Linked DNA regions of Elephas maximus indicus. The protein of the gene in region 2 interacts with the protein of the main gene of each other region in a pairwise test. Links are inferred from orthologs where the notes say so. Each region holds a gene or a part of one and is shown on either strand. Other genes may lie near its edges. The genes, in order: SLC15A4, GLP1R, CD81 and interferon-induced transmembrane protein 3-like.

What was found.
Region 1: the proteins of GLP1R (region 2) and SLC15A4 interact in a protein complementation assay, tested with the Homo sapiens proteins (2 studies listed by BioGRID). The link is inferred for Elephas maximus indicus from reciprocal best matches to the Homo sapiens genes GLP1R and SLC15A4.
Region 3: the proteins of GLP1R (region 2) and CD81 interact in a protein complementation assay, tested with the Homo sapiens proteins (2 studies listed by BioGRID). The link is inferred for Elephas maximus indicus from reciprocal best matches to the Homo sapiens genes GLP1R and CD81.
Region 4: the proteins of GLP1R (region 2) and interferon-induced transmembrane protein 3-like interact in a protein complementation assay, tested with the Homo sapiens proteins (2 studies listed by BioGRID). The link is inferred for Elephas maximus indicus from reciprocal best matches to the Homo sapiens genes GLP1R and IFITM3.

The regions. Positions count from the first base shown.
Region 1 is NC_064840.1:3,145,316-3,152,419, forward strand, and holds the start of SLC15A4 (solute carrier family 15 member 4), read left to right. Parts: upstream 1-4,088; coding exon 4,089-4,649; intron 4,650-7,104. UniProt on the Homo sapiens protein: Proton-coupled amino-acid transporter that mediates the transmembrane transport of L-histidine and some di- and tripeptides from inside the lysosome to the cytosol, and plays a key role in innate immune response.
Region 2 is NC_064819.1:102,896,959-102,904,961, forward strand, and holds the start of GLP1R (glucagon-like peptide 1 receptor), read left to right. Parts: upstream 1-4,991; 5' UTR 4,992-5,007; coding exon 5,008-5,085; intron 5,086-8,003.
Region 3 is NC_064825.1:135,506,742-135,514,659, forward strand, and holds the start of CD81 (CD81 antigen), read right to left. Parts: upstream 3,011-7,918; 5' UTR 2,787-3,010; coding exon 2,721-2,786; intron 2,146-2,720; exon of another isoform or gene 441-2,145; coding exon of another isoform or gene 1-440. Other genes in the region: uncharacterized protein LOC126081186, read right to left, coding at 1-440. UniProt on the Homo sapiens protein: Structural component of specialized membrane microdomains known as tetraspanin-enriched microdomains (TERMs), which act as platforms for receptor clustering and signaling.
Region 4 is NC_064846.1:178,013,255-178,019,165, forward strand, and holds interferon-induced transmembrane protein 3-like, read left to right. Parts: upstream 1-3,919; 5' UTR 3,920-4,008; coding exon 4,009-4,275; intron 4,276-5,058; coding exon 5,059-5,250; 3' UTR 5,251-5,410; downstream 5,411-5,911.

The DNA.
Region 1 (7,104 bases), on a different chromosome or scaffold from region 2:
TTATTCAACATCGTGTTGGAAGTCTTAGCCAGGGCAATCAGGCTAGACAAAGAAATAAAAGGTATCCGGATTGGCAAGGAAGAAGTAAAGTTATCACTATTTGCAGATGACATGATTATATACACAGAAAACCCTAAGGAATCCTCCAGAAAACTACTGAAACTAATAGAAGAGTTTGGCAGAGTCTCAGGTTATAAAATAAACATACAAAAATCACTTGGATTCCTCTACATCAACAAAAAGAACACCGAAGAGGAAATAACCAAATCAATACCATTCACGGTAGCCCCCAAGAAGATAAGATACTTAGGAATAAATCTTACCAAGGATGTAAAAGACCTATACAAAGAAAACTACAAAGCTCTACTACAAGAAATTCAAAAGGACATACTTAAGTGGAAAAACATACCTTGCTCATGGATAGGAAGACTTAACATAGTAAAAATGTCTATTCTACCAAAAGCCATCTATACATTTAACGCACTTCCGATCCAAATTCCAATGTCATATTTTAAGGGGATAGAGAAACAAATCACCAATTTCATATGGAAGGGAAAGAAGCCCCGGATAAGCAAAGCACTACTGAAAAAGAAGAAGAAAGTGGGAGGCCTCACCTTACCTGACTTCAGAACCTATTATACAGCCACAGTAGTCAAAACAGCCTGGTATTGGTACAACAACAGACACATAGACCAATGGAACAGAATTGAGAACCCAGACATAGATCCATCCACGTATGAGCAGCTGATATTTGACAAAGGACCAGTGTCAATTAACTGGGGAAAAGACAGCCTTTTTAACAAATGGTGCTGGCATAACTGGATATCCATTTGCAAAAAAATGAAACAGGACCCATACCTCACACCATGCACAAAAACTAACTCCAAGTGGATCAAAGACCTAAACATAAAGACTAAAACGATAAAGATCATGGAAGAAAAAACTGGGACAACCCTAGGAGCCCTAATACATGGTATAAACAGAATACAAAACATTACCAAAAATGATGAAGAGAAACCCGATAACTGGGAGCTCCTAAAAATCAAACACCTATGCTCATCTAAAGACTTCACCAAAAGAGTAAAAAGACCACCTACAGATTGGGAAAGAATTTTCAGCTATGACATCTCCGACCAGCGCCTGATCTCTAAAATCTACATGATTCTGTCAAAACTCAACCACAAAAAGACAAACAACCCAATCAAGAAGTGGGCAAAGGATATGAACACACATTTCTCTAAAGAAGATATTCAGGCAGCCAACAGATACATGAGAAAATGCTCTCGATCATTAGCCATTAGAGAAATGCAAATTAAAACTATGATGAGATTCCATCTCACACCAGCAAGGCTGGCATTAATCCAAAAAACACAAAATAATAAATGTTGGAGAGGCTGCGGAGAGATTGGAACTCTCATACACTGCTGGTGGGAATGTAAAATGGTACAACCACTTTGGAAATCTATCTGGCGTTATCTTAAACAGTTAGAAATAGAACTACCATACAACCCAGAAATCCCACTCCTCGGAATATACCCTAGAGATACAAGAGCCTTCATACAAACAGATATATGCACACCCATGTTTATTGCAGCTCTGTTTACAATAGCAAAAAGTTGGAAGCAACCAAGGTGTCCATCAACGGATGAATGGGTAAATAAATTGTGGTATATTCACACAATGGAATACTACGCATCGATAAAGAACAGTGACGAATCTCTGAAACATTTCATAACATGGAGGAACCTGGAAGGCATTATGCTGAGCGAAATGAGTCAGAGGCAAAAGGACAAATACTGTATAAGACCACTATTATAAGATCTTGAGAAATAGTAAACCTGAGAAGAACACATACTTTTGTGGTTACGAGGGGGGGAGGGAGGGAGGGTGGGAGAGGGTTTTTTTATTGATTAATCAGTAGATAAGAACTGCTTTAGGTGAAGGGAAAGACAACACTCAATACATGGAAGGTCAGCTCAATTGGACTGGACCAAAAGCAAAGAAGTTTCCGGGATAAAATGAATGCTTCAAAGCTCAGCGGAGCAAGCGCGGGGGTCTGGGGAACATGGTTTGCGGGGACTTCTAAGTCAATTGGCAAAATAATTCTATTATGAAATCATTCTGCATCCCACTTTGAAATGTGGCGTCTGGGGTCTTAAATGCTAACAAGCAGCCATCTAAGATGCAGCAATTGGTCTCAACCCACCTGGAGCAAAGGAAAATGAAGAACACCAAGCCCACATGACAACTAAGAGCCCAAGAGACAGAAAGGGCCACATGAACCAGAGACCTACATCATCCTGAGACCAGAAGAACTAGTTGGTGCCCGGCCACAATCGATGACTGCCCTGACAGGGAGCTCAGCAGAGGACCCCTGAGGGAGCAGGAGAGCAGTGGGATGCAGACCCCAAATTCTCATATGAAGACCAAACTTAATGGTCTGACTGAGACTGGAGGAATCCCGGCGGTCATGCTCTCCAGACCTTCTGTTGACACAGGACAGGAACCATCCCCGAAGACAACTCATCAGACATGAAAGGGACTGGTCAGCGGGTGGGAGAGAGACGCTGATGAAGAGTGAGCTAATTATATCAGGTGTACACTTGAGATTGTGTTGGCAACTCTTGTCTGGAGGGGGGATGGGAGGATAGAGAGAGAGGGAAGCCGGCAAAATGGTCAAGAAAGGAGAGACTGAAAGGGCTGACTCAAGACGGGGAGAGTAAGTGGGAGTAGGGAGTGAGATGTATGTAAACTTATATGTGACAGACTGATTGGATTTGTAAACGTTCACTTGAAGCTTAATAAAAGTTATTATAAAAAAAAAAAAAAAAAAAAAAAAAGACAGGGTGGGGAAGGTCGAGTTCTGGCACTCAATTATCCTCTCATTAGAAAATTATCACATATTAATTTACGTAGCACCATGTCAGGCATCAGTCCATAGTCAGACTTTTTTTTTTTTTTTTTTAAGATAATCACGCTACTTCAAACCTTATTGGCAGGACTGACCTTATCAGAGGACTTCAGGGCAAGCCCCGCTTCCCTAGGTAATGGTTCCCTCCTGGTCTTAGCTGGAGGTAAGGATGGAGCAAGTAATGGGAAAGGGTCTTACTCATTTGAACTAATGGAATCCTTGGATTGCGGTGGTGTCCACTTTGGGGAGACACTCCACTTTAGCACATGCCAGGCACCATCCCAGGCACTGGGGACATGACAAGGAATGAGACACCTAAGAACCCTGTGTCCATGGACCAGGGAACACACAGAACCAGGGGGGATACAAAAAATAAACATAAAACTGTAACAGGTGCTGTAGGGTAACCAAAACCAGGGGATGTGATCAGGCGGGACCTACTCTGGATGCTGTGGTCAAGAAGTGTCACCCTAAGGAGGCCACATTTGAGTCTGGAGCTGACAGAGGGTGACATACCAGCTTTGTGACAGCGGGTGCTCTGTGAAGGTCTGAAAGGGTCTCCAACTTGGCTTGTCCTAGGACAGTGGTTCTCAAAAGGGGACGGTTTTGTCCGCAGGGGACATCTAGTATTCCTGGAGACATTTATGGCTGCCACAAGTGGGGCTGGGGCAGAGGAGGTGGTACTGGCACCTAGCGGGTCGGGACAGTGATGCTGCCAAACGTCCTACAACGCACAAGACAGTCCCCACCACAAACAACTATGGGGCCCAACATGTCACTAGTGCTGAGGTTGATAAACCTTGACCTAGGACATCCTGGGGCACAGCGGGAAGGGGGCCAGCCCCGGGAAATCAGCCTGGAGGGCAGGCAGAGCTTCGAGGCCGTTGCAGGCGTCAGGGTCCTAGGGGTCCACTGGCAGCCTGTAAGGGCTTGCAAGAGCGGGGTATCAGGCTCCGACTTCGTTTGAAAAACACCCACCGAGGGGACGTCACGGCCGCGGCCTCACTTCCGCCCCCTCCGGAAGCAGCGCCGCGGCCTCTCCAGGCTTCCGGGGCGGAACCGGAAGTTCCCGACCGGCTGAGCGACGGCGAGCCCGCCCACTGGGAGGGCGCCCGAGAGGTCTCGCGAGAAGGGCGGTGGCTGTGGGCTCGCGGAGGCCCGGCCGGCGGCGGCGAAGATGGCGGGCTCCGGCGAGCGGACGCCGCTGCTGGGCTCGGGGAGCCACGGCGCGCGGCGGGCGTCGTCGGCGTTCGCGGGCCGGCGCGCGGCGTGCGGCGCCGTGCTGCTGACGGAGCTGCTGGAGCGCGCGGCCTTCTACGGCGTCACGGCCAACCTGGTGCTGTTCCTGAACGGCGCGCCGTTCTCCTGGGAGGGCGCGCAGGCCAGCCAGGCGCTGCTGCTCTTCATGGGCGTCACCTACCTGGTGTCGCCGTTCGGCGGCTGGCTGGCCGACGCGCTGCTCGGCAAGGCGGGCGCCATCGTGCTCAGCCTGGCGCTCTACCTGCTGGGCATGCTGGCCTTCCCGCTGGTGGCCGCGCCCTCCACGCGCGCCGCGCTCTGCGGGCCCCTGCGGGCCGCGCTGCTGGAGAACTGCTCGGCGCCCGTCCGCAACGCCAGCGCCGCCTGCCACGACAGCCCCGAGCGCCGCTGCGCCGCCGCCACCTTCGCGGGGCTGGTGCTGGTGGGCCTGGGCGTGGGCACCGTCAAGGCCAACATCACGCCCTTCGGCGCCGACCAGGTGAGCCGGCGCGCGCCCCGCCGGCCCGGCCCTGCCCACCGGGCAGCAAGCGCTGCGCCAGCCCCCGAGGGCCGCCCAACCCCGACGGCTGCCCAGTGCCAGCCCCCGAGGGCCGCCCAACCCCGACGGCTGCCCTGTGCCAGCCCCCGAGGGTCGCCCAACCCCGACGGCTGCCCAGTGCCAGCCCCCGAGGGTCGCCCAACCCCGACGACTGCCCTGTGCCAGCCCCCGAGGGCCGCCCAACCCCGACGGCTGCCCTGTGCCAGCCCCCGAGGACCGCCCAACCCCGACGACTGCCCTGTGCCAGCCCCCGAGGGCCGCCCAACCCCGACGGCTGCCCTGTGCCAGCTCCTGCGGGTGGCAAACCCCGACAGCTGCCCTGTGCCAGCCCCCGCCGGTCGCCCAACCCCGACGGCTGCCCAGTGCCAGCCCCCACTGGTCACCCCACCCCGACGGTTGCCCAGTGCCAGCCCCCACTGGTCGCCATACCCCGACGGCTGCCCAGTGCCAGCCCCCGCGGGTCGTCCAACCCCGACGGGTGCCCTGTGCCAGCCCCCGAGGGCCGCCCAACCCCGACGGCTGCCCTGTGCCAGCTCCTGCGGGTGGCAAACCCCGACAGCTGCCCTGTGCCAGCCCCCGCCGGTCGCCCAACCCCGACGGCTGCCCAGTGCCAGCCCCCACTGGTCACCCCACCCCGACGGTTGCCCAGTGCCAGCCCCCACTGGTCGCCATACCCCGACGGCTGCCCAGTGCCAGCCCCCGCGGGTCGCCCAACCCCGACGGGTGCCCTGTGCCAGTCCCCGAGGGTCGCCAAAACCCGAAGGCTGCCCTGTGCCAGCCCCCGAGGGTCGCCAAAACCCGAAGGCTGCTCTTAATAGGCAGAACAAGACAGTGTCCTCTGCTCTCATGCAGCTGCTTTCTAGTGAGAAACAAGGGAACAAGTAAGTGGAAAAGCAGTAACGACTGGTTGTGATAGGTGCTGGGAAGCAGCCAACCTAGGGTGATGTACAGGAATTGATGGATTTAAATGAAGGACTGGCCACTATGGAGGGGGCTTTTGAGTTGGGACCGGAGGGATTCCGAACTGGGGAATCAGCAAGTGCAAAGTACCTGGGGCCAGGAAGAGAAGGGAGGTCCCAGTTTTTGCTGCTCTCGGTTTTAAGATAACTGGAAAGAGGATTGTTAGGCAGGGGTCAGAATATGTAAGGTGGGATAAAGAGTCAAGTGTTTTGTGTATTGTAGGAAGCCTTTATAGGGTCGAACTGTTCCTAAGAGTTTGGCTAAGTGTAGAGCCGGTAGGGAAACTAGCCGGTGGGCCCGGGCCAAATCTGTTTTACTTCCTGTTTTTGTAGGGCCCACAAGCTGAGAGCGGTTCTTATGTTGTTAAGTGGGAAAAAGAATCACAAGAGTATTTCATAACAAGCTAATATTACATGAAATGTGCCTTCCGAACTCCATTAGTTGTATTGGAACACAGCCTTTCCCATCCCTGTTTTGTTAAATGTTTTTACTGTGGGTGCCTTCAAATACGGTAGCAGAATTGACAGACCTTAAAATAATTCTATTTGACCCTTTACAGAAAAGTTTGCCAGCGTCCGTTGTACATTTGTATGGAAAATGATGACAGCAGGGATACCAGGTAGGAGTCTGTTAAAACTGGCCAGGTGAGAGAGAGAGAGACTTGGACTTAGAATGGAGGCAGTGGACATGGAGTGAAGTAGATGGATTTGGGATCATTTACCGAGGTAGGATGGGCAGGAATTGCTCTTGGATTCTATGTGCGTAGTAGGGAAAGAGGCATCAGAGGTGACTCCTCGTTTTTTGTACTAAGTGCATCAGAGGTGACTCCTCGTTTTTTGTACTAAGTAACTATGTTGTTACCTGGCCCTAGATAACATTTACTGCGGGCTCACTGAGTACCAGGCACTGTGCTGCGTGCTTTATTATTAGTCTACATAACACCTTGATTGTTGCGTTATTGTGCCCATTTTACAGATGAGGAAACTGAGGCTTGAGAGGTTAAGTAACGTGCCTAAAGTTACACAGCTAGTAGGTGACTGAGCCAGTATTCAAAACCTGACCTTTGAATCAGATCCCAAGCTTTATGGAAACTTTGGGAGGCTCTCCCAGCCACACAGCAGAGAGAAGCCTTACAGTGACGATGAGAGTAACACTTGCCTGATGTATTGAATTCTTAACTGTTTTCCTGCAGCATGGCACATGTTTTACACACTTGATTTCATTCGCACTTCACGTGAATCTTTATGTCCATTTTATAGATGGGGAAACAGGCAAAGAGTGAGATCATTGTCACATAGCTAGCGAGTGGTCAAGCCAGGGGTTTAATTCCGGGTCTGATTACTTAGTCTGCACTGTAACCAGCCCACCAGGATGGAGTGGATTTCTGTGCATCCTGTGATGGGACGGCATAGGTGTGGTTGGGTCAGAGTATTCA
Region 2 (8,003 bases):
CTCACTGCCCCCAAGTGAAAGTTTCTGTTTTGCCCACTAACCAGTCTTCCTACTAAGGGACAGAGGAGGATTCTGCAGGCCATCCCTACTGGGACAGGGCCTTGCAGCTTCTTTTCCTCAGATGGACACATCAAGTACTCCCAGACCCATTTCTGAAGACAATCTAAAACCCATATCTTCTTAGTGGAAACCCATGGTGCCACACCCTAGGCCCACAGGAGAGTCTCTGGGCGTGGGTGTAAGGAGCAGGAACCCAGCGCTCTAGCCCTGAGGTGGAAGGAGCCACAGGGAGGCGCTGTCCGGTCAGGCTGGCAGAGCTGGTGCCTGCGCCCTCTGTGGTGCCACAGACTCAGCGGCTCCTCGGGAGCTTCAGCACCAGCTCTGGGGGCAGGTGAACCTGGAATGAATGCCAGCTCTGCTCCATGAGCTATGTCCTTTACCTCCCTGAACCTCAGTCTCCTCGTCCATAAAATGAGCATAATACTTGCCTTTATTGGAAGGACTTGATGAGATCAGTGCACACTAAGCAACCAGGAGCACCTGGTTCACAGTGGGGGCCCAGGAAGTGGTAGCTCTGGTTGTCATTTTCACGGTTATTGTGAGTGGGTTAGCAGCTGGTATTCCATCCCATTCAGACCTCTGTTCTTAGGGAGTTCATCCTCTGCTCTGCTCCAGGGGCCCTGAGCGAAAGGCCCTGGTAAGTGTGGGGAAAGGAGGTGAGTGTACTCCCAAGTATATGCTCTGTCCTCTCTCATAACCCATTCTTCTTCCAGTAAGTTTGTGAGCACCTACGATGAGCCAGACACTTCACCAAACACTTGGATTGATAACGTTTCAGTTGCAGCAAACATTCACTGAGCCCCTGCTATGCGCCTCATGTATAGCCACCACCCATCTGTCCATGGTGGCTCCTGTGTTGCTGTGATGCCAAACAGGTTTCAGCAGGGCTTCCAGACTAAGAAAGACTAGGAAGAAAGGCTTGGTGATCTACGTCTAAAAATCCCTATGGATCACAGCAGTCCACTCTGCAGCTGATCATAAGGGTGGCTCAGGCCTGGGCAGCACTTTGTTCCATTATGCATGGGCTGACTCGCTGGTAGCTAACAACAACCACACTACGTGCCATGGTCTGTGCTGATGCTGGATATCCAAAGATGAGCAAGGAAACAGCCCTTCCCTCAAGGAGCTCACAATCTAACGAGGGATGCTATAACTAGGACAGTGAGCAACAGTGACACAACAGTGACAGTATGTGCTTCAATTTATTCTATTTGTTATTTTAAACAAGAGTCACTAAGAACGGAGCACCTACTATGTGCCAAGCACTGCACCGGGTGCCTTCAGTTAGCAGCCGAACACGTTAACTGTTTGCACTACCCAGGGAAGAAGACGGATATAATCTATGGTAGTGTGTGCTGAGATGAAAGTAGAGTCAGAGAAAATGCAGAGGCATTTGGACACCCAGGTATTAAAAAGAAAATTGCTGGAGCAACAGAGGAAGAAGGAGAGTCAGGAATAGGAGAAGGAAATGGAATGTGTAGCTAACTGCCTCCGTGAACAACTGCTTCCTCTGCCATGACACCAGAAGAACTGGATGGTGCCCAGCTACCATTACTTAATGTTTTGATCAAAGATTCTATAGAAGAATCCTGATCAAAAGGGGGGGGGGAATGCAGAACAGAATTTGAAATTCTCATGGAATCCAGATATTCTGGAGCCATGGAGACTGGATGAACCCCTGAAACTATTGCCCTGAGATAATCTTTAAACTTTAAATCGAAAATATCCCCTGAAGTCTTCTTAAAATGAAACAGTAGTTTAGCTTAACTAGTAAAGAATCTCTGCCTTGAGCATTACACTCTTTTAAGATCTATCTATATGAGATCAAATTGACAATAGCAACTTGAAAGACTAGATAGGAACCTTATAGGGCAGTGAGTTTATGTCAGCAGGGGAGGAACAACTCAGAAAAGGAAGGTGAATATGGCTGTACAACTTGAAGAATGTAATCAATGTCACCGAATTGTACAGGTACAAACTGTTGGTGTATGTTCTGCTGTGTATGTTATCAAAAACAACAAAACTGCATAAATTATACATATATATGTACATATACATACATACATATACATATATGTATACACACGTATATATGGGAAAGTTGAGTAGATGCTTCTAGGCTCAGAGGTCCAGCCCCTCAGTCCTTGGATCCTTTCATATGCCCACTGTCTTTGGCTGGGCTTTCCTAAAAAAAGACAAATATTTAAGGATAAGTGGTTTATTTTTATTTGGGAGGTGACCCCAGAAGGACTAGTCCCCTACTGGTGGGAAAGTGAGCCGGGAAAGTGAGCCAGGAAAGGGAAGGAAGCCAACACTGGGTGCGTCATTGAGCAGATTACCACTATGGGCAACTGAGCTCAGTTGCAGTCAGGACCTCTGGGACACCACTTGGTACCCACCTCTGAGTTGTCCAATCCAAGGGAGGAGGACCTAGGATATTTATCAACTCCTGTCCTTCGTTGGTTGAGAGCTGCTCATAGGGGTGTTATTTCCCAGAACATCAGGCATGCCCAGCATTGGCTGAACCCAAGCAAGCTCCTCTGAGTCAGAGAAAGCCCCCAGGCAGAGAGAAATAGTGAGTGCTAAGGGTTGGGACTTCAACAGCATCTGCTCCACCCATGCTTACCACAGTTGTAATATAACTGGCTCACATAATTAAATTATGTGTTTAATGCCTCTCTCTTGCATGAGACTGTAATTCCCATGGGGGCAGGGACTGCATCACCCTATATCCCCAGGACCTAGCTCAGTGTCTGGCACATGGCAGGTGTTCAATGAATATTATTGAATAAATGTAATTTGGAGGTTGATAAATTCAGTGGTAAAGGCCCCAGCTCTGAATACCTTCTCCAGCCCCTTCTCTTCGTTTGCTCTCTGGAATCCTCTCTTCTCTGCCCACCCCAGCCCTGGTATAGCAGAGCCTGTAAGTTGTTTCCCAAAATCCACATTTGTGCCTTCTTCCAGCGTAATAAAAGGAGTCCCTGGGTGGCGCAAACAGTTAAGCACTCAATTACCAGCCAAAAGTTTGGCGATTCAAACCTACCCAGAGGCACCTCAGAAGACAGGCCTGGCAATCTGCTTCTGAAAGATCACAGCCTTGAAAACCCTGTGGAGCAGTTCTGCTCTACACACATGAGGTCGCCATAAGTCAGAATTGACTTGATGGCAACTAACAACAACAACAACAGTAATGAAAGTCCCAACATTTAACCTTGCTCAGGCTGCCTGGAATAAAGTATACATTTCCCAGCCTCCTTTGCAGCTAGGAATGCCCATGGGACCAAGTTCTTACCGGTGGAAGTGGAATTGGTGGCTGCCACTTTCAGGCACCTCCTCTTTCTTCCTTCCTGCTGGCTGGAACTTAGATGTAATGACTGGGACTGGAGCAGTCACTCTGGGTCATTAGGTGGAAGCCTTGGACCAAGAGAAGGGCAGGGCAACCAGCTAGAAAAGCCGTGGACCCTGATGATCAATGAGTGGCCACTCCAATCCTAGGCTGAGTCTCTGGGCTTGCTTTATAGGAGAGCACTTGGTTACACATTTGGGTGTTTGGTTTGGTTTGGTTTTGTCAGTCGAAGCTGAACAACCTCATTCCAAGTGGTACACTGAAGGTGACTGTCACACTAACTTCTGGGTAGGGGAGGGAATACATGACACCCAGGCAATGGGGGTGGAGCTCCCTGGAGAGGTGAAGGATCCTTCTCACAAAAAGGAAGCCTGTGGCTTCTCTCATTGGCTGTCTCCCTCACTGGTCTCAAACAGGTCCAGCCTCCCTCAGGGCTTTGAGATGTTCTGTTTTCTCCCTGAGGGGCAGCTACTCTCATAGACTCCCTTTCCCTGGGACTGTTCCAGACATACCCATGGCAGGTCCGGGGCTGAGTGCGCCTGCTACCCTATTGGAACTGTGTTCTTTGCAGGGGGGATCCCCTTTTACCACCTCCACTTTTCAAGGGCATTAGCAAACTCAGTGCCTTCTTAGAACTCCCTCCCAATAAGCCCAGCGATAAGAAGAACTTGAGAGTGGCCCGAGCACCTACTCTGTCCTGCACTGTGAGGGTGGGTGTAGAAAGGAAGGCGGGTAAAATGCAAAGCCCCCATAAAGCAGGGAGACAAAGACACAGGAGGCACAGAGAACAGCCACTCAGGTTAGAAGACGCAGTTATAAGACACAAGGGCTGTAAGAGTCTGGTGGTTCAGAGCTGGGTGCGTGGGAGCTGCAAGGGGTGGGATGTGGGAGAGGCTTAGAGAAAGGCCTCCTTCATCCTCCTCCTGCAATTCCGAAAGTTCCCAGTTGAAGGGGAAGTTCTCGACCCTCCCCACCTCCAGGCTCCATTGATCCATTTGTTGTTGCCTCCCTATCTTTCCTCCTTGGCTGTGACAGAGCCTGGGAGAAGCGGGGGGGGGGGGGTGGGGGGCGCATCGTTGAGACGAAGGTAACCCCACTGGGTGGGTCATTCGTCACACGAAGCTCTGGAAATAACTTTCCTAGAGGGGTCCAACGGGTTGTGTGACCTTGGACAAGTCCCATCTGCTCCTCTGAGATACCCTGAGGTTAGGGCAGACTGGGAGGAGGTCCGGGGGGGGGCCGGTGCGGGTGCGGATGCGGATACGGGCTAGCCTTGTGGCCGAAACCCGGCGAAGCGCACCGCCCGCGCTCAGAGCTGGCGGCCCGGCTCCAGCGCTTTATAAACCCGAGCGGCGCACGTCCGGAGCGCAGTGCCGGGACACCTTGCTGGCCCGGGACCGGCCTTGGGGAGCGGCAGGGGTGGCCAAGGGGCCAGGCCGGGCGGGGCGGGAGGCAGCCGGGAGACCCCGCCCGGCCCCTCCCGCGGGCGGGGCGGCCCCGCGCCGGCTCCTCCCCCTGCTCCCGCCGCCCGCCCGCACGGGATCAGTCGCCGCGCGCGGTTCCGCAGGTGGCACCGATGGCCCAGTCCTGAGCGCCCCGCCATGGCCGGCACCCCCGGCCCGCTCCGCCTCGCACTTCTGCTGCTCGGGGCGGTGGGCAGGGCCGGCCCCCGCCCCCAGGTGAGCCCTGCGGACCCTGGGGGGGACAGGGGAGAGGGAGGTGGCGCTGCGGGCTGCAGGCGCAGTGTCCTGGCAGGGGCGGCCAGGACTTGAGCGAAACTCCGCGACCGCAGGCGGAGGGAGCCAAAAGCCTCTGGGGTGGGGGTGGTGGGAAGGGGCTGGAGAGTCGGATACGTGGACTGAGAGGCCGAGGTGAGGGGCTTGGACCGAGGACGACTCCCCCAGCCCGGGTGAGGCGCCCACTCCTCGCCTCCCGGGCCCCCCTCTCAGGCACCAGCTGCCCGCGGTCGCCGGCGCTGACTTCTGTGGCAGGTCTTCGTCCTCCCCAAACCACTTTCCCAACTCCGCCTTCCTCTTCGTAAACCGGTGCCGGCGGCTCTGGCACAGCCCAGCGCTGGACCCCTGCACCTGAGACGCCCCTCCTGTATGCCCTGGGCCTCCTCCGCAGTGCCTCCCACCCCCACCCCTGCCCTGCGGTCAGAGACTCAGAGAAAGCTCTGGGCAGTAGAGAGGGCGCGTGGGTAGAGACAGTGCACTGGTCCCCTTCACCAGCCCCCCAGCACAGCCTTTGACTCATAGCCCCGGGGACCTTACGGTGGCAGCTTGTTGTCCTTCCCTGTGACCTCCCAGATGGGACTTGCATCTCGTCATCACCGCCCCCCCCACAACCCCTGCAGCAAACACGCGGGAGGCTCTGCACTCTTCCAGAAGCATCCAGGCTCTTGTCACACACCTGGCGGGCCCCCCACTTTCCCTAGTTGGCAGCACACACTGGAGGGCATACTGGGGGCTCACAGGCACCTTGGCCTCATTGCCATGCCATCAGAGAGCAGGCCACAGGTGCACCCCTTCTCCTGCCTTTCTAGACTCCTGGGCTAGAGGCAGCACAGGGTCAGCCTGTGTCTGGGGAGGGAGCTTGTCCAAAGATGCTGTGAGATGCTGGAGCAGAGGGGAGGTACAGGCTTGGGTGGCCTATTCCGTTGCAAGGAACTGTCTCCTTCCGTCACCTCCTCGTGCCTCCCCCTGTTACCCATTGCGGTGAAGTCAATTCTGATGCACAATGACCCTATAGGACCAAGTATAACTGCCCCACAGGGTTTCTAAGGCTGTAAATCTTTACGGAAGCAGACTGCCACATCTTTCTTCTGGGGAGCTGCTGATGGGTTCAAACCACCAACCTTTTGGTTTGCAGCTAAGCACTTTTACCACTGCACCACCAGGGCTCCTTCCTGCCTCCCCCAGACCTGAAGAATTGAGATCTTTGGGAAGTGGACCTGTAATAGGCCTTGAAATTTGTCCCAGAACAGATGGGAGGCAGGATGGTGGGCCATTGCCTTGGTCTTGATGAAGGCGGACTCTACCCCTGGCCAAAAATGCACATGTGGACAGATGTCCCTCTCAGCCAGGGTGCCAACACACTTTCAGTCCCCCAAATTCTTGTGCAGACTCATTCTCTCCCATCTTTTCCCCCATCCTAGTCCCAACAGACACCCTCCCTCCCCTGGCACCTTCTCTCCCCACCTTCCAACCTTGGCTTTCCACTGGAAGCTTGTGTGGTTGGGATTTTTTGGGGGCCAGGACTGCAGAGCCATTACCACATTCTTTCTCACCTTTACCTCCTTTTTGTTTTGTTTTTATAGGTTGGGACAGGAAGGGGTTGGGGGTGCGGGGGCGGGGGGGGTGCCCTGCTTCCTGGTCCCATACTGCTGCAGGCCAAGTCTGCAGATCTGGTTTGGATTAAGGGAAGAGGAAGCATTCTGCAGGCAGCCTGTCAGTTCTTCCCAAAGTTCTTTTTTCCGGAGGTTTCAGGCTCCTTGAGCCTCTCCTTTCTTCTGACCCCCCTCATTCCTCAGCCCTGGGCTTAGGACAGAAGCTTAGAATATCAGGGCATAACAGGAAGGACTAGGGTGACAGAGGAGGGAATGCGGGGACAGTATCTGGGCAGAGAGGGCGGAGCATTGAGGGGCTGCGCATGTTGGGAGGCAATGAGCATTTCTGGCCACCGCGAGAGACCTGAGCAGCAGGCACGTTTGAGGTTTGGCAGCAGTAATTATTACAAAACCTCATGCATGCATATAAGGTTTTTTAAAAAGTAGTGACTTTTACATTTTATTTTTTGTCCATGAAGCCGGCAGGACTAGGGTTACTCCTTCCACATCACTGATGGGAGGACAAAATCTCAGAAAAAGGGTTCCTTATACAAGGTGGTGCAGCAATTTAGGAGCAGGAGGAGAAAGGGGTGCAGGGCTAGGGTCTTGGCATAATACCCTTATATTCAGGTGGATTAGGAGGGACTGAGAGTGAGCTGCTCACTGTGAGGTCTGGCAAGACTGGAAGCAGCTTCCCTGGGGGCAGGAAGATGGCCTCTAAAGAGTGTGACCTCAGCCACTCCATTGTGGCTGAGAAGAGCTACTTCCCCACCCTGTTTCCTACCTCCCCAACACCCCTGTGAGGAAGTGGACCTACGGAGGAGACAGGCAAACCTCTGACACTCAAGTTAGAACCAGTCACAGTTGGGCTCATGTATCAGCTCTGCTATTAGCTGGTAATCTTGGGTGGGACACTTGACCACCCTTAGCCTCAGTTTCCTCATCTGTAAATAGGGATCACAAGCTCTGTCACAGAGAGTTGTGGAGAAGACTGAAATGCTGGCACTGTGAAACGGCACCTTTAGTCACTTGAGTGCCTCCCAACTTGCGCAGCCCCTCAATGCTCCACCCTCTCTGCCCAGATTTGTCCTCAGAAACCTGGAAATGTTCTTCAGGGCTGCAGAAATAGGATGTGCAGTGGGCTGTCAGAGGTCCCATGCTTCTGCATGCTAGTGTGTGGTGGATGGAGCCCAGGCTGTGCAATGGTTAGTGTGGACTTTGTTCTGAACCGGGCTCCCTCCCGGACATGGAGCCAGGATGGGGGCCAGG
Region 3 (7,918 bases), on a different chromosome or scaffold from region 2:
TGGGAAAGCACGGACGTGGGGTGCAGGCAGTTGACAGCGCGTGGATACAGGGGTGCAGGTGGGTGGGAAAGCACGGATGTGTGGTGCAGGCAGTTGACAGCACATGGATACAGGGGTGCAGGCTGGTGGGATGTAACAGATGTGGGGTGCAGGCGGGCAGGTCTTTCTGCAGCAGCAAAGGAGAAGCATGCCAGTCCTTTATCTGCCTCCCCCCGTGTGGGAACTTCTCTGGAAAAGGACCTCAGCCGCTTTTCCTGGCCCCCCACGACCCTAGTGCTCCCGGAACGCTGACCCACTAGGCAGTCAGAACCACTCACCTGCAGGGCGCTTCCTAGACTGATGGGAAGGCTCTCCCTTGCCATAGTCCCTGCCGGGCCACCATGCCCAGACCCGTCTCCCAAGCCCGCTCCGTTCCAAGCCCCTCGCTCAGCACTTATCATATTAGTTAATCCCCCAACAAACCCCGGTGGGGGTCCCTGGGACCTCACTCTAGAGGGTGAGGCAGCCGAGGAACAGACCCCGCCCAGGCTGACTCTGAGGAGCCCACCCTTGGCTTTGATGCAGAGGACTCGGGGGGGCGGGGTGCAGGGCACTCAGGGTGGTGTTGGCAGGGTGGGGGGGTGACTGTGGGCCGACACAGCTCTCAATGCTCTGAGGGAGTGGAGCAGCTAGGAGCCTTGGAAAGTCTCCTTGAGTCACAACAAAGAAAGAAGGGCACCCGCTGCCTGGGAAACCACCACACTCACCCAGGCCACGATCCTGGGGCAGGCCTGTCTGGGGATCAGCCACAGAGGGGCTTATCCAGGGTGATGCCCAGCCTGGCCCACTCCCCTCAGACTCCCCAGGAACAAAAACCCACTTCTGAGAAGCCCCCTCCTCTGCCTACCCTTTCCTTCCCTACCAGGGTCATAGTCCGGCTCACACAGGGGCCAGCTGAGGGGCATAAGGGCCTCAGTTTACCCATCGCCCACTACCCTGGACCACTGCTGGTTCCTACAAGGCTCCTGGGGCCGTCCTGGGCAGGGTAAGCACAAGCAGCCTCACTGCTCCCCGCCCTGGGGAGAGGCCCTGGGCTCCAGGAACCCCAGGGTACCCTCCCGAGGTCAGCTCCCGGCCCCAGCAGGCTGGATGTGACCCTCACTCCCAGCTGGGAGTGAGTCCAGCCTCTGCCCTCCCCTGCGCCCCTCCCAAATACCTCCCTGAAGCAAACCCACGCCAGCCAGCCAGACAGACGGGAAGCCGATGTCTCAGCCCAGTCTGCTCCAGGGGCCGTTTTACAACTTTACTGCCCCTGCCTGGTGGCGCAGTGGTTAAGTGCTACAGCTGCTAACCAAAAGCTCAGCAGCTTGAATCCACCAGGTCCTCCTTGGAAACTCTATGAGGCAGTTCTACTCTGTCCTATAGGGTGGCTATGAGTCAGAATCACCTTGACGGCACTGGGTTTGGTTTCCTTTGGTCACTGCCTGAGCTTGAGAATCACAGTTCACCCGGGACACTGTCCCGCCATAAGGGTGGGTCAGACTGGGACGGCAAAGCAGCTAGAAAGGGTACCAGAGAGGTGTCACTGCCAAGGAGAATGTCCGAGGGTAGAATGGAGCTCCTGGCACGCACCCACAGACCTTCCAGTCCAGCAAGGAATCTCCACCTCCTCCCCAATTCCAAGACTGGCCAGAAATGGAAACAAAGAAAAAGACACAACCGGTCACTCCCCAGCAGTTACCACGAAGATCAGGAGAAGGCTGCTCTGGGGCAGGGAGAGGACCCGGGAGACCCTCCACACCGGGGCTGCAGTCCAGTGACCATGGGGGCCACCCTTCCCGAAGTGGAGATCCCAGCCAGCACTCGGCACCGACGCCGGGGATCAAGCCCCGAGCTTGGAGCCGCCAGGTCTTTCGGATACCCCCTGCCCTGTGCCAACTCTTATGGCCAGGCCCACGCCTCTCAAAGCTTCCCAGCCCCTGGAATCCAAGTGTGTGGTGGGGGCTGGGGTGCGCGGGGTCGGCGCCCTAGAGCTGGGCCAAGACGGTGCGGGCCCCCTACACACGGGCATGCCCGGGCCAGTGCGCTTCCGGTCAGCCCTCTGCCGGGGCCGACCCGAGACTTAGGAGGGGGACTGCGGAGAGGAGGATGGACTGGGCTAGGGGCGGAGCGCGATGCCGGCCCCCAGGGCTCCTACCCAGCAAGCGCTCCCTCCCCACCACCCATTTAGAGGCGGCGGCCCGATGAGCTCATGGGGCGGAGCGCCAGGAGCCCCGCCCCCGAACCCCCCTTCCGTCCGGCGCGGCAGGGTGGCCCCGGCTCCCGCCCCGAGCGGGGCCGTCCCCGGGTGAAGACGGCCCGGACCCCTCCCCTATGGGTTGCCGGCTCCAACCGCCCAGGTCGCCAGCACAGCGGCCCCCAAGCCCTGGGGCTTTGAGTCCCGGACGCCCAAAGGCTGGCGCCCTGAAACCCGGCCCTCGGCCCGGCCCGCCGTTAGGGGGCGCAGTGGCCCCGAGCGACCCCCTCGCCGCGGCCTACCGACCCCGGGCCCCCACCCGCCCCGACGCCGACAGGTGTCTGCAACTTGGCGGCCCGCAGCGGCGGCCCCGCGGGCTGCGCCCTTTGGCCAGGCCTACCGAGGCTCCCGGGCCTGCGGGGTTGGCGCGCACCCCGGTCCCCGGCCCACCGCGCCCCGGCCCCCCGCGCCCCAACCTCCTGCGCCCCGGCCCCTAGCCGCTCACCCAGAAGACGAAATTGAAGACGAAGAGCAGGTACTTGATGCACTTGGTGCAGCCCTCCACCCCCATGGCGGCGCGGCTGGCGGCCTGCGGGCGCTGACGGCGGTGCGGCGGGGGCTGGGCGGTCGGCGAGGGCCTGGCGGGCGCGGGGCGCGGGGCGCGGGTCGGGGCGCGGGGCGCACTAGGCGCGGAGGCACGGGGCCTGGGGGCTCGGGGGCGTTGGGAAGCCTGGCCGGGTGCGCGCTGGGGTCGTCTCCGCCGCCGCTGCGCGCTCGCTCGCTCTCTGGCCGGGCGCGCGCCCCGCGCCGCGCCGCTTATAGGACACCGTGGCCCCGCCCCAGCCCCGCCCCCGCGGGTCCAGCTCCGGGCCCCTCCGCCAGGCCTCGCCCCCCCGCGCCCCGCCGCCGGAGCCCGATCCCCGCCCCGCCGCGCTGCGTGCCCCGGGGCCTGCGCGGTGCTGTCTGCCTGGGCGCCCCTGGAAGGGCGGCGGGGCGGGAGCGCACGCTGGGTCGCGTCCCCGGCCACTCCCCCGTCCCTTGCACGCAGACCTCGGGGTTTCAGACCTCGGTGCGGCGGATAGGCGCCGCCGAGCCGTTGTTCCCTCCGAGCCCCGGGGGACCGCTGCCAGGCTGCGCCTGAGGACAGGCATGCAACGTCCGCCGAAGAGCGCAGCCGGGGGCCTGGGGAGGACCCTTCCCATCCTGGCGCCTTGGACAATCGAGGAAGGCTCCGAGAAGGAGGTGATGGCGACTATGCACAGAGCGCAGCGCTCTTAGTTCACAATCGCTTTCGGGGCCGGACCCGGGGTGGGCGGTGAGGCCCGAGTCAGTGGGTCGCCGGCCGGAAGGGCCAAAACGCCACACTTTTAGGCTGCCACGCGTTTGCCCCTTACAAAGTGGAGTTGCAGACAGCTGTTAGGGGAGTCTTTCTTTGAAAGGTTACTCACGTATCTAGGAGGCCCGAGCGACCTGTGGGAGAACCCCCAAGTGTTTTGAGGTTCATGTCCATCCTGGGTGGTATGGATACCCCTCAGGGGTGCCAGCCCCGCACTTCCCGCTGCGTCCCTGGAGGCGCGGGGCCAACCCCTGCTTCTTGCTTTGGGCTATTGCAGAAATGGAGGGATGACTCAGGGAGCCAGGGATGCTTCCTCCCCAGGTCGCGCGCGCGGTAGGTGACACCAGATGAAGTTCTCACGGGTCTACACCAGGAAACCCGTGGTGAGGGCAGTGGGGCCAGGCCTGGAGAAGCAGACCTCACTGTGCCTCCCCCTGCCACGCGCGCCGGCAGTCGGTTCATTTCACCGAACACCATCCATCACAGCGCTGCCCGTAGAACTTTCCGGATGATGGTGGTGTTCCGTATCTGCGGTAACCCAGGATATGTGACTCCTGAGCACTTGAAACGTGGCGAGTGCAACCGAGGAACTGAATTTTAAATTGCATTTAATTGTAAGTTTAAATAGCCAGGGATGCCCAGTGGCTGCCGCATCCCTCCACAGAGCCGCTCTCTCTTGTTGCTTGCCGTCCTAAGACCTTTCCAGTTCTCTTGGTAAAAAACGAATTTGTTTTGGCTTCGTGCTTATATAAGAGCTACCAGGACAAAGAGGTCATACTTTTATGTTTGTGCATAGCTAAGTGATACTGTACTAAAAGTATCTAAACCTTCACCAGGGCTTACTAGGATTTTTTTCATTTAAAGGAGACAGAACAGGCCTCAAGTGTAAGGAAACCCATCTAGAAGGCCTGGGCACCCTTATCTTCCATCAGCTTCCCGTGGTCCCCAGGGGACATTTCCTGTCAAAGAGGTGGGCTTCGTCCTTAGCAGAAGGCCCTCCCGAGGCCTCTGAGGAAGGAAGCATAGGAGACATTGACCCTCCCTCCCCTCAGGAAAGGGAGTGACAGCACTGTGCCTACTGCCCCGGGCCCACTATGCCCCAAGCAGGTTGTCTTTGGCCAGCTCCTCTCTCCTCTCCAGCCATGTATCACATGTTTAGTGGGGGCCTGCTGTGTGCCAGGCCATGTGCCAGCACTGGCTGTGGACAGACGGGCAGCCAGGACCCCTTCCCTCAAGGACCAGAGGCCCTGGTGCCAGAGACAGCTGTCCCCTTCACTGACCTTGTCAGTGCTGGTGGGGGGGGGGGGATAGCAGGGAATCCCCAGGTGCTTGGTGGAGGCTTAAGGGGGCACCAGTATGGGGCCTGCAGTTGGAATGAGCCAACCATGCAGAACATGGGGGCGGAGGGAGAGGGACAGAAATTAGGTCAGTGGTCTGGAGTAGAGGGAGTGAGGGGAAGAGGGCTAGAAGCAGTGGTTGGGGCAGATAGGTGACATCCGGACCTGGCAGAAGGCCAGGGTGGGGCTGCCTTCGATTCTGACCTGTAGTGGGAGCGATTAGGGGTTCCGGTGGGAGAGTCACATGCCTGGCATTCTCTGAGATCAATTGGATGGACATGTGTGGCAGCCAGCTGGGAGGCCCAAAGAAGGCGGCTGGGCCCACAGTGGAGCCTATGCTCAGGACACCTGGCCTCACGGGGAAAGGGCTACGCGATGGAAGCGGCCACCTTGTGGTCCTGGCACACTGTGGCTTTCCCGGAGGAACCAACCACCTCCTGTCCTTGCCAAGTGGCTCAAGTGCCCTGACCAGTGGCCCACCAGCTTGACCAGTGTCTTAGTTATCAGTTGTTGTTGTTGTTAGGTGCCCTCCAGTAGGTTCTGACTCATAGTGACCCTTGAGCCCATTGTTGCAGCCACTGTGTCACTCCATCTCCTTGAGGGTCTTCCTCTTTTCCGATGACCCTCTACTTTACCAAACATGATGTCCTTCTCCAGGGACTGGTCTCTCCTGGTAACATGTCCAAAGTACGTGAGAAAAAGCCTTGCCATTCTCGCTTCCAAGGCGCACTCTGGCTGTACTTCTTCCAAGACAGACTTGTTCGTTCTTCTGGCAGTCCATGGTGTATTCAATATTCTTCACCAACACCATAACGCAAAGGCATCAATCCTTCTTCGGTCTTCCTTAATCATTGTCCAGCTTTTGCATTCAAATCAGGTGGTTGAAAATATCATGGCTTGGGTCAGGTGCACCTTAGTCCTCACAGTGACACCGTAGAGACCTCTTTTGCAGCAGCAGTTTGCCCAACGCAATACATCGCTTGATTTCCTGACTGCTGCTTCTGTGGTTGTTGATTGTGGATCCAAGTAAAATGAAATCCTTAACAACCTCAATCTTTTCTCCATTTATCATGATGTTGCTTATTGGTGCCGTTGTGAGAATTTTTGATTTGTGTTGCGGCGTAATCGATACCGAAGGCTGTGGTCTCTGATCTTCATCAGTAAGTGCTTCGAGTCCTCTTTTCAACAACCAAGGTTGTGTCATCTGCATATCCCAGGTTATTAGTGAGTCTTCCTCCAATTCCGATACCCCATTCTTCTTCATGTAGTCCAGCTTCTCGAATGATTTGCTCAGCATACAGACTGAATAAGTGAAAGAATACAACCCTGACGCACACCTTTCCTGACTGTAAACCACGCAGTATCTCCTTGTTCTGTTTGAACGACTGCCCCTTGGTCTATGCAGGTTCCTCATGAGCACAATTAAGCGCTTTGAAATTCCCATTCTTCCCAGGGTTATCTGTAATCAGTCACGGTGCACACAACTGAATGCCTGTGCGTAGCCAATAACTTAAAGATGTAAACTATAAACTCTAAAGCAACCCCCAAAATAAGAAAGCAAAGAGTTATAGTTAATGTTAGGGATTGAATTGTGTCCCCAAAACAAGTGTTGTAAATCCTAACCTGTGTGCCTGTGGGTATAATCCCATTTGGGAATGGGTTGTCTTTGTTACGTTAATGAGAAAGGATTAGTGTAGGGTGTGTCTTGAGTCAATATCTTACAAGATATAAGAAGAGCAAATTACAGAAGCAAGCAGAGATGGGAGAAGAGAAATGCTGAGCAACATGAAGACTGCCCAGGAGCAGAAGCTCAGAAGAGACAAGGACTTTCCTCCACAGCCGACAGAGAGATAAAGCCTTCCCCCAGAACCACACCCTGAATTCAGACTTCTAGCTTCCAAAATGTCAGGAAATACGTTTGTTTGTTAAAGCCATCCACTTGTGGTAAAACAAGATCCATCTCGACGCTACCCTCAAGAAACACACTTCAAATGTAAAGACACAAATATGATAAAAATAAGAGGATGCTATGGTGGGAGCTTCCGAAATGGCCGCAATTATCCTGGTATTTATGCTCAAGGCTGGGAAGAGCTTGGGGTGGTTGAGGCGTTTGCCTCAGTCGTGAAATTTAAGCAGGCATCAAAAAACTGCGTAATCGAGATAAGTAATACTTTTTTTTATAGTTTATTTTTTGTTGTGGTTGAGAATATACACAGCAGAACACATACCAGTTCAAGGATTTCTACATGTAAAATTTGGTGACACTGATTACATTCTTCAAGTTGTGTGACCATTCTCACCCTCCTTTTCCAGGTTAACATTATTAACATCAACTCATTACCCCTTTATCCGATCAAGATAAATAATATTTTAATGTAATTCTTTTAAAAGTTCAAATTGATGCAAAAACTTTATGAAGACTGAAATATCAAGATTTTAAATAAAGGCAGGGTTACTAAGAGTGCCGTGCCAAACCCTACTGGAACCTGAGACCAAGGGGCAGAAATCAACCTTGTGTGTGACCCTGATCCAGAAACCCATTGCCAGGGAGTTGGTTCTGATTCATAGAGACCCTGTAGGACAGAGTACAACTGACCCATAGGGTTTCCAAGGAGCGGCTGGTGGATTCGAATTGCCGACCTTTTGCTTAGCAGCTGGGCCCTTAACCACTTCGCCACCAGGCCCCACCCTCACCCAGAGGCACCAGTTAAGCTGCGCCCAGACTCCTGACCCACAGCTACTGTGAGGAAATAAATACTTGCTGTTTCTAAGCCGCTGAATTTTGGAGTACAACAAAAGCTGCTATACCTAGTAAGTGAGTTTAGCAAGGCTGCAGGACCAAAGCTCAATATACAAAATCAATTGTGTTTCTGTGTACTAGCAACAATCAGAAACTGAACTAAAAAATGCCATTCACGGTAACATCAAAATGTGAAATAATTAGACATAAATACGGCAAAAGATGTACAAAACACTGGTAAAAAAATTTAAAAAGACTTAAATAAACAGAGAGACATAATGCGTTCATGG
Region 4 (5,911 bases), on a different chromosome or scaffold from region 2:
TCACACACACACACAATAATGCATGCTTACTATGAGACATAATAAATTTCTCTAATAGTCAAAATAATACTTTACAAAGTTTTTAGAACAGATCTAGGTGATTCTTGGCTCATCGGTGGTAAAACAAACGAGTGTTTCTCAACCTTGGCACAACTGTCAAATTGGAGCAAGAGAATGCTTAGTTGTGGGGGGCTCTCTTGCATTGGGTAGGGGGTTGAGCAACAGCTCTACTCATAAGATGCAAGCAGCCTACCTAGTGTTGTTGTTCTTGTTGTCACTGAGTCTATTCCAACTCATGGTGACCTCATGTGTGCAGAGTAGAACTGTGCTCCATAGGGTTTTCAAGGCTGCAGCCTTCAGAAGTAGATCACAAGGCCTTTCTTCTGAGGCATCTTTGGGTGGCTTCCAACCTCCAATCTTTCAGCTAGGAGTCCCATGCATAGCCATTTATGCAACCCAGGGTGCACACTGCCAGGCTCACCCTCACCCAACAGAGCAGCAGGCCCCCATCCAGGACTGAATCACCAGCTGAGGGTTCAGATGTGTGGGAGCTGGGCTGAAGCGTGGGTGGGGAGGGGCAGAGAGGGGCCCTTGCACCCAGGTGGAAGTCCCAGGGGGTACCAGATGAGGCCTGGAGTGACATTCCAAGGTACCAAGAGTATCAAAGGCACCTGACTGAGACAGTTGGACAAGAAGCAGGGAAGTGTTTCTGCTGACATGTTACAGCTGTCAATGTCTGTTCATCTTGAAATTGGGGGGCCCAACTTAGAGATTGCCTCTGGGCACTAGTTACCCTTGCTACACCCTGAACCTCATCACCAAGTCGTGGCAATGAAAAATATTTCCAAACCCTTTGCCATCAAGTCAATTCTGCTGCATGGGACCCTACAGGATGGAGTAGAACTGCCCCCATAGGGTTTCCAAAGAGCAGCTGGTGGATTCAAACTGTCAGCCTTTTGGTTAGCAGCCAAGCTCTTAACCACGGCACCACCAGGGCTCCAAAACGTATCTCCAGTTATTGCCAAATGTCTCCTTTGTACAGGATCATTTCCAGCTTAGACCCATGACCTTAGATCACTTTGTCTCTGAGCTCATAAATACTGAAAATGATACGGACTAATAATATATCAAAGTATGTAGACCATGCCTGGCATAAGGCAAGTTATCAATAAATATTTATTGTTATTACAAAGGAAGTCTACTTAAGAGAAGTCCCTGGATGGTACCTGCACAGGATCAGATGCAAGTATACATGGGACCTTCCTGATGCTGGTGGTGGAATAAAGATATTGTGGTTATAGTGGCCATCTAAGATGCATCAGTTGGTCCCAACCCACTTGGAGCAAAGGAGAGTGAAGAACACCAAAGACACAAGGAAAATATTAGCCCAAGAGACAAAAGGGCCACATAAACCAGAGACTCCATCAGCCTGAGACCAGAAGAACTAGATGGTGCCCAGCTACCAGCAATGACTATCCTGACAGGGAACACAACAGAGTCCCTGACAGAGCAGGAGAAACGTGTAGAGCAGAACTCAAATTCACATAAAAGGACCAGACTTAATGGTCTGACTGAGACTGGAGGCACCCCCGAAGTCATGGCCCCCAGACGCTCTGTTAACTCAGAACTAAAATCATTCCCAAAACTCAGTCTTCAGACAAGATTAGACTGTACTATAAAACATAAAATAATGCTCACAAAGAGTGTGCGTCTTAGTTAAAGCAGATACATGAGACAAAATGGGTAGCTCATGTCCGGAGGAAGAATGAGAAGGCAGGAAGGGACAGGAAACCTGAGGTGGAAAGGGGAAGTGTGCTGTCACGTTATAGGGATTGCAACCAGTGTCACATAACAATACCTGTGTAAATTTTTATATGAGAAGTTAACGTGAGCTGTAAACTTTCACCTAAAGCACAATTAAAAAAAATAAATAAAGACATTGTGGTTATGTAGGTCGGTTTTTTTTTTTTTTTTTAGGTCAAATCTTTGTGATTATGAGAATTAAGCATAGATACTACAGAGTTCTTATAAGGTGGACCAGAATCTAAGACCTGGGACAGAAGAGTGAAAACCCATGAATCCTGAAGAGGGGAAGGACGATGCACGGAGTAATTAAAACTACAGTGTGCGACCATATCCCTAAATGCTGGATCCAGGTAGAAAAGACAACCTGTGCTCCACGGGGATACTCGTGGAAATTCAGGAAAAGGGAAACCACAGCAGCCCAGAGAGCCTCCCAACTCGCTATCCTCTGTTGTCAGTTCTTAAGCCCATGAGGAGTACTTTAGGGATGAAGATAGTGTTGACCCCAATATCACCCAGCATGTTTTCTCCTTTTTCAAAATGGGCAGCTGAGAGCTTAACATAACCAAGGCCATGATAAACCTATAAGTTGTTCTAACTCTGCCTGCCTCCTCACATACCTCTGTTAATGACTTTGTTTCCACCAAATGTTAATGACTTTGTTCTGTGTTTTAAACTGATGCAAATAACCTTTTGTTCTATCTAGACTACCTGTGGCATACAACCCCCACAGGAAAGTTGGAGCCCAGGTATCCGATATGTATGTCTTCAGCCTAGTAAAGAAATGTCTGACAGGGGACAACGAAGACACCTGTAACCCTTGTAAGATTCTCTATAAGCTCTAATGTAAAACTGCTCTTTGGGACTCCATAGAGACAGCCTGTGTTGCTGCTGGGTCCCTGGTGATGTATTCATCTCACTCTTTCTGGCTTGAAGTATGTTTCATTGGCTTGACTGCTCCAGGGCATGGACCCTAATCGGGTAACAATAGTAAAGATAGTAGAGGACAGAATTGACTCATCTTGGAAATGGGAAAATTGAGCTTCAGAAACTTGCCTGAGTTTCTCCAGGTTCTTTCTAGTTCTTCATGAGTGAGGTCAGATAACCTGTAATTTATACAAAGACCCTCACCAAAATGGGAAGCAGAAATGGGAAACAAACAGGCTGAACATGGGAGAGGAGGACTCAATTCCAGAAAATTAAAAGGTCTCTTCAAACTACCTAAGGTCCTCCATCCACTGATGAATGTGCACTTGGTTGCTCCTCTTCCCACCTACCACCCTGCCCCATCCACCTCCAAACCAAGACACATGTTGGCAAGAAGGACCTTTCCTGATTTTAGAAGGAGGCTCCTTCCTCAGTGTACATCAACAAGGCTAACACAGGCTCCATTCATTGTTGTTGTCAATATTAGTTACCATCAAGTTGATTCTGAATCAACTTGTATCAGGGTAGGATTGTGCTCCACAGGGTTTTCAAGGCTGTTTTTTTTTAATCTTTACAGGAGCAGATCACCAGGCCTTTCTTCCAAGGCACCTCTGGGTGATTTTCAATTGCCAACCTTTCAGCTAGTAGTAGAGCGCGTAAACATTTGGGTCACCCAAGAACTTCTTTGTAATAATAATAAACATTTATTGATAACTTGCCCTGTGCAATGCATGGTCCTGTTGTTGTTAGGTGCTGTTGAGTCAATTCTGACCCACAGAGACCCTACGTACAACAGAATGAAACACTGCCTGGTCCTGCTCCAGCCTCACAATAGTTGTTATGCTTGAGCCCACGGTTGCCGCCACTATGTCAATTCTTGTCCTTATGGGTCTTCCTTTTTTTCCCCTTACCAAGCATGATGTCCTTTTCCAGGGACTGGCCCCTCTTGATAACATGCCCAAAGTGTGTGAGAGGAAGTCTGACCATTCTTGCTTCCAAGGCACATTTTGGCTGTACTTTAAATGTATTGCTTCATTTTAACACTCACAGAAACCCTTCCAGGACAGCGCCCTAACTCTCCCTCCCCCTCCCCTCCTCTCAGGCTTGAAGTAATTCGAGCCTCTGAAATATGTCCCGCCTCCTTGGCCCATGGCCACCCCAATTCTTCAGCCTGGAAATAGAAACTTCTGAGAAATCGAAACTACTGAGAGAAGTGAGGCCAGGAAGCTAAACCTCTCACGCAAGACCCTCATCTACTGCTGGACGTCTCAGGAAACCATGAACCACACTTCTCAACACTTCTTCACTCGCGCAGGTACCAGCCTCTCTCCAGCCTACGAGATGCTCAAAGAGGAACATGAGGTGGAAATGTTGGGGGCTCCCCACTGCTCAGTGCCCCCTGGCCCCGTGGCGCCCGTGACATCCACCGTGATCAACATCCGCAGTGATACCTCGGTGCCGGATCATATCGTCTGGTCCCTCTTCAACACGATCTGTATAAACTGCTTCTGCCTAGGGTTTGTGGCCTTCGCCTACTCCGTGAAGGTGCGTGTGTGTGTGCCAGACACCAGGGGATTCTCCAGGAGGGTGCACTTGGGCGCTAGGGGTGCCCTCTGCCCACTTGGTTCTGGGGCTACCAAGGGTGTTTGTGTGTGTTCTTGTGTGTGCCTTTGTGGATGTGTGTGTGTCCATGTGTATGCATGTGCACGTGTGTGTGTCCGTGTTTACACATGTGCACATGTGTGTGCCGGGCACCTGGGCGATTCTTCACCAGGGCGGAGTGAGCACTTGGAGTGCGCTCCCCCCAGATGGGCCTGGCGGGGAGAAAGGACCTGTGTGTGTCCCTGCGTTAATATTTTTGTGTGTGTCTCTCTTGCGCGTGTATTTTATGTGTGCTTCCTTGTGAGTGTCTGTGTCTTGGGAGGGGGGTCTTTCACAGCGTAGATCAGCAATGACACCCCAGAGGGTGCTTGAGGATGTCCTTATCAGTCCATGTTCCCACAACTTCCCCAAAAAATGTTTGTCAGAGTTAACAGAGAAGTTCATCCCTCCCTCACCCTTGGGTTAGGGCTCCAGGCTGGGGCTGGGGTGGGGGGAAGGAAGGAAGGGTGGCACTGGGGCACAGCAGAGGGAAGACAAGCCCAAGGCTCCCTGAAAGGACTGGGGGATTGTGAGGAGGTCTCTGCCCCAGCAGGCAGGGAAAGAAACTGTCCTGCTAGGGCTCCATGGAATGGGCAGGGGGGGGGGGCTCTCAGATGTGGGTGAGGGCCAGTGCAGGCTGAACTGGGGACAGAGCTTCAGGTGCCCTCATTGTTTCCTCTCCTTCAGTCTAGGGACCGGAAGATGGTGGGCGACATGATAGGGGCCCAGAGCTACGCCTCCACAGCCAAGTGCCTGAACATTTGTGCCCTGCTCTTCAGTGTCCTGGTGACCATCGGGTTCATTGCTCTCGTGGCCAGTGGAGCCATGATAAGCCTCGATGCAATCTCAAAGCTCAGGCAGGCACAGGGGGGCCACTGACCGCTGCCCATTGCTGCTGCCTGAGCCCCCCAAGGCTCCACAGCTGGTCCTGCTTTCCCGCCTGTTGACACCCCACCCCAACTCTTGTCTAAAGCAGTTTGCACTCGATGATCTGTCTATAAACGAATTCAGTAAAGTTCCTCTGTGCGTAACGGGGAAACCCTGGTGTCATGGTGGTTAAGTGCTACAGCTGCTAACCTAAAGGTCAGCGGTTCGAATCTACCAGGCGTTCCTTAGAAACTATGGGGCAGTTCTACTCTGTCCTATAGGGTCACTATGAGTCAGAATCGACTCGACAGCAACGGGTTTGGTTTTGGTTTTTGGTGTGCAATGGTGCTGTGATATCGCCCGGGGAGAGGGTCCTGCTCTCAGTCACCAGTCTGCTCCTCAGCTGAGGGTCATCTCACCTTGTCCCACTACCAGGCAGAGCAGAGAGCAGGACACACCCTCAGGCCTGGCTGGTTCTGGCCTCAGGTGGGGCCACAGCTGGGCTGGAGTGGGGGCCCCTCTGACCCTGAGGTCTGAGCCCTGACGCAGGGCGGCTTCTTACAGGGGGATCGGTACTAGGAGGCACCCTCAGCCTCACACAGGGTGCAGAGGACCCTACTCAGGCACTCTGGGATGCCTAGGTCCAGCGGTCAGCCCTCTGGGGTGCACCTGG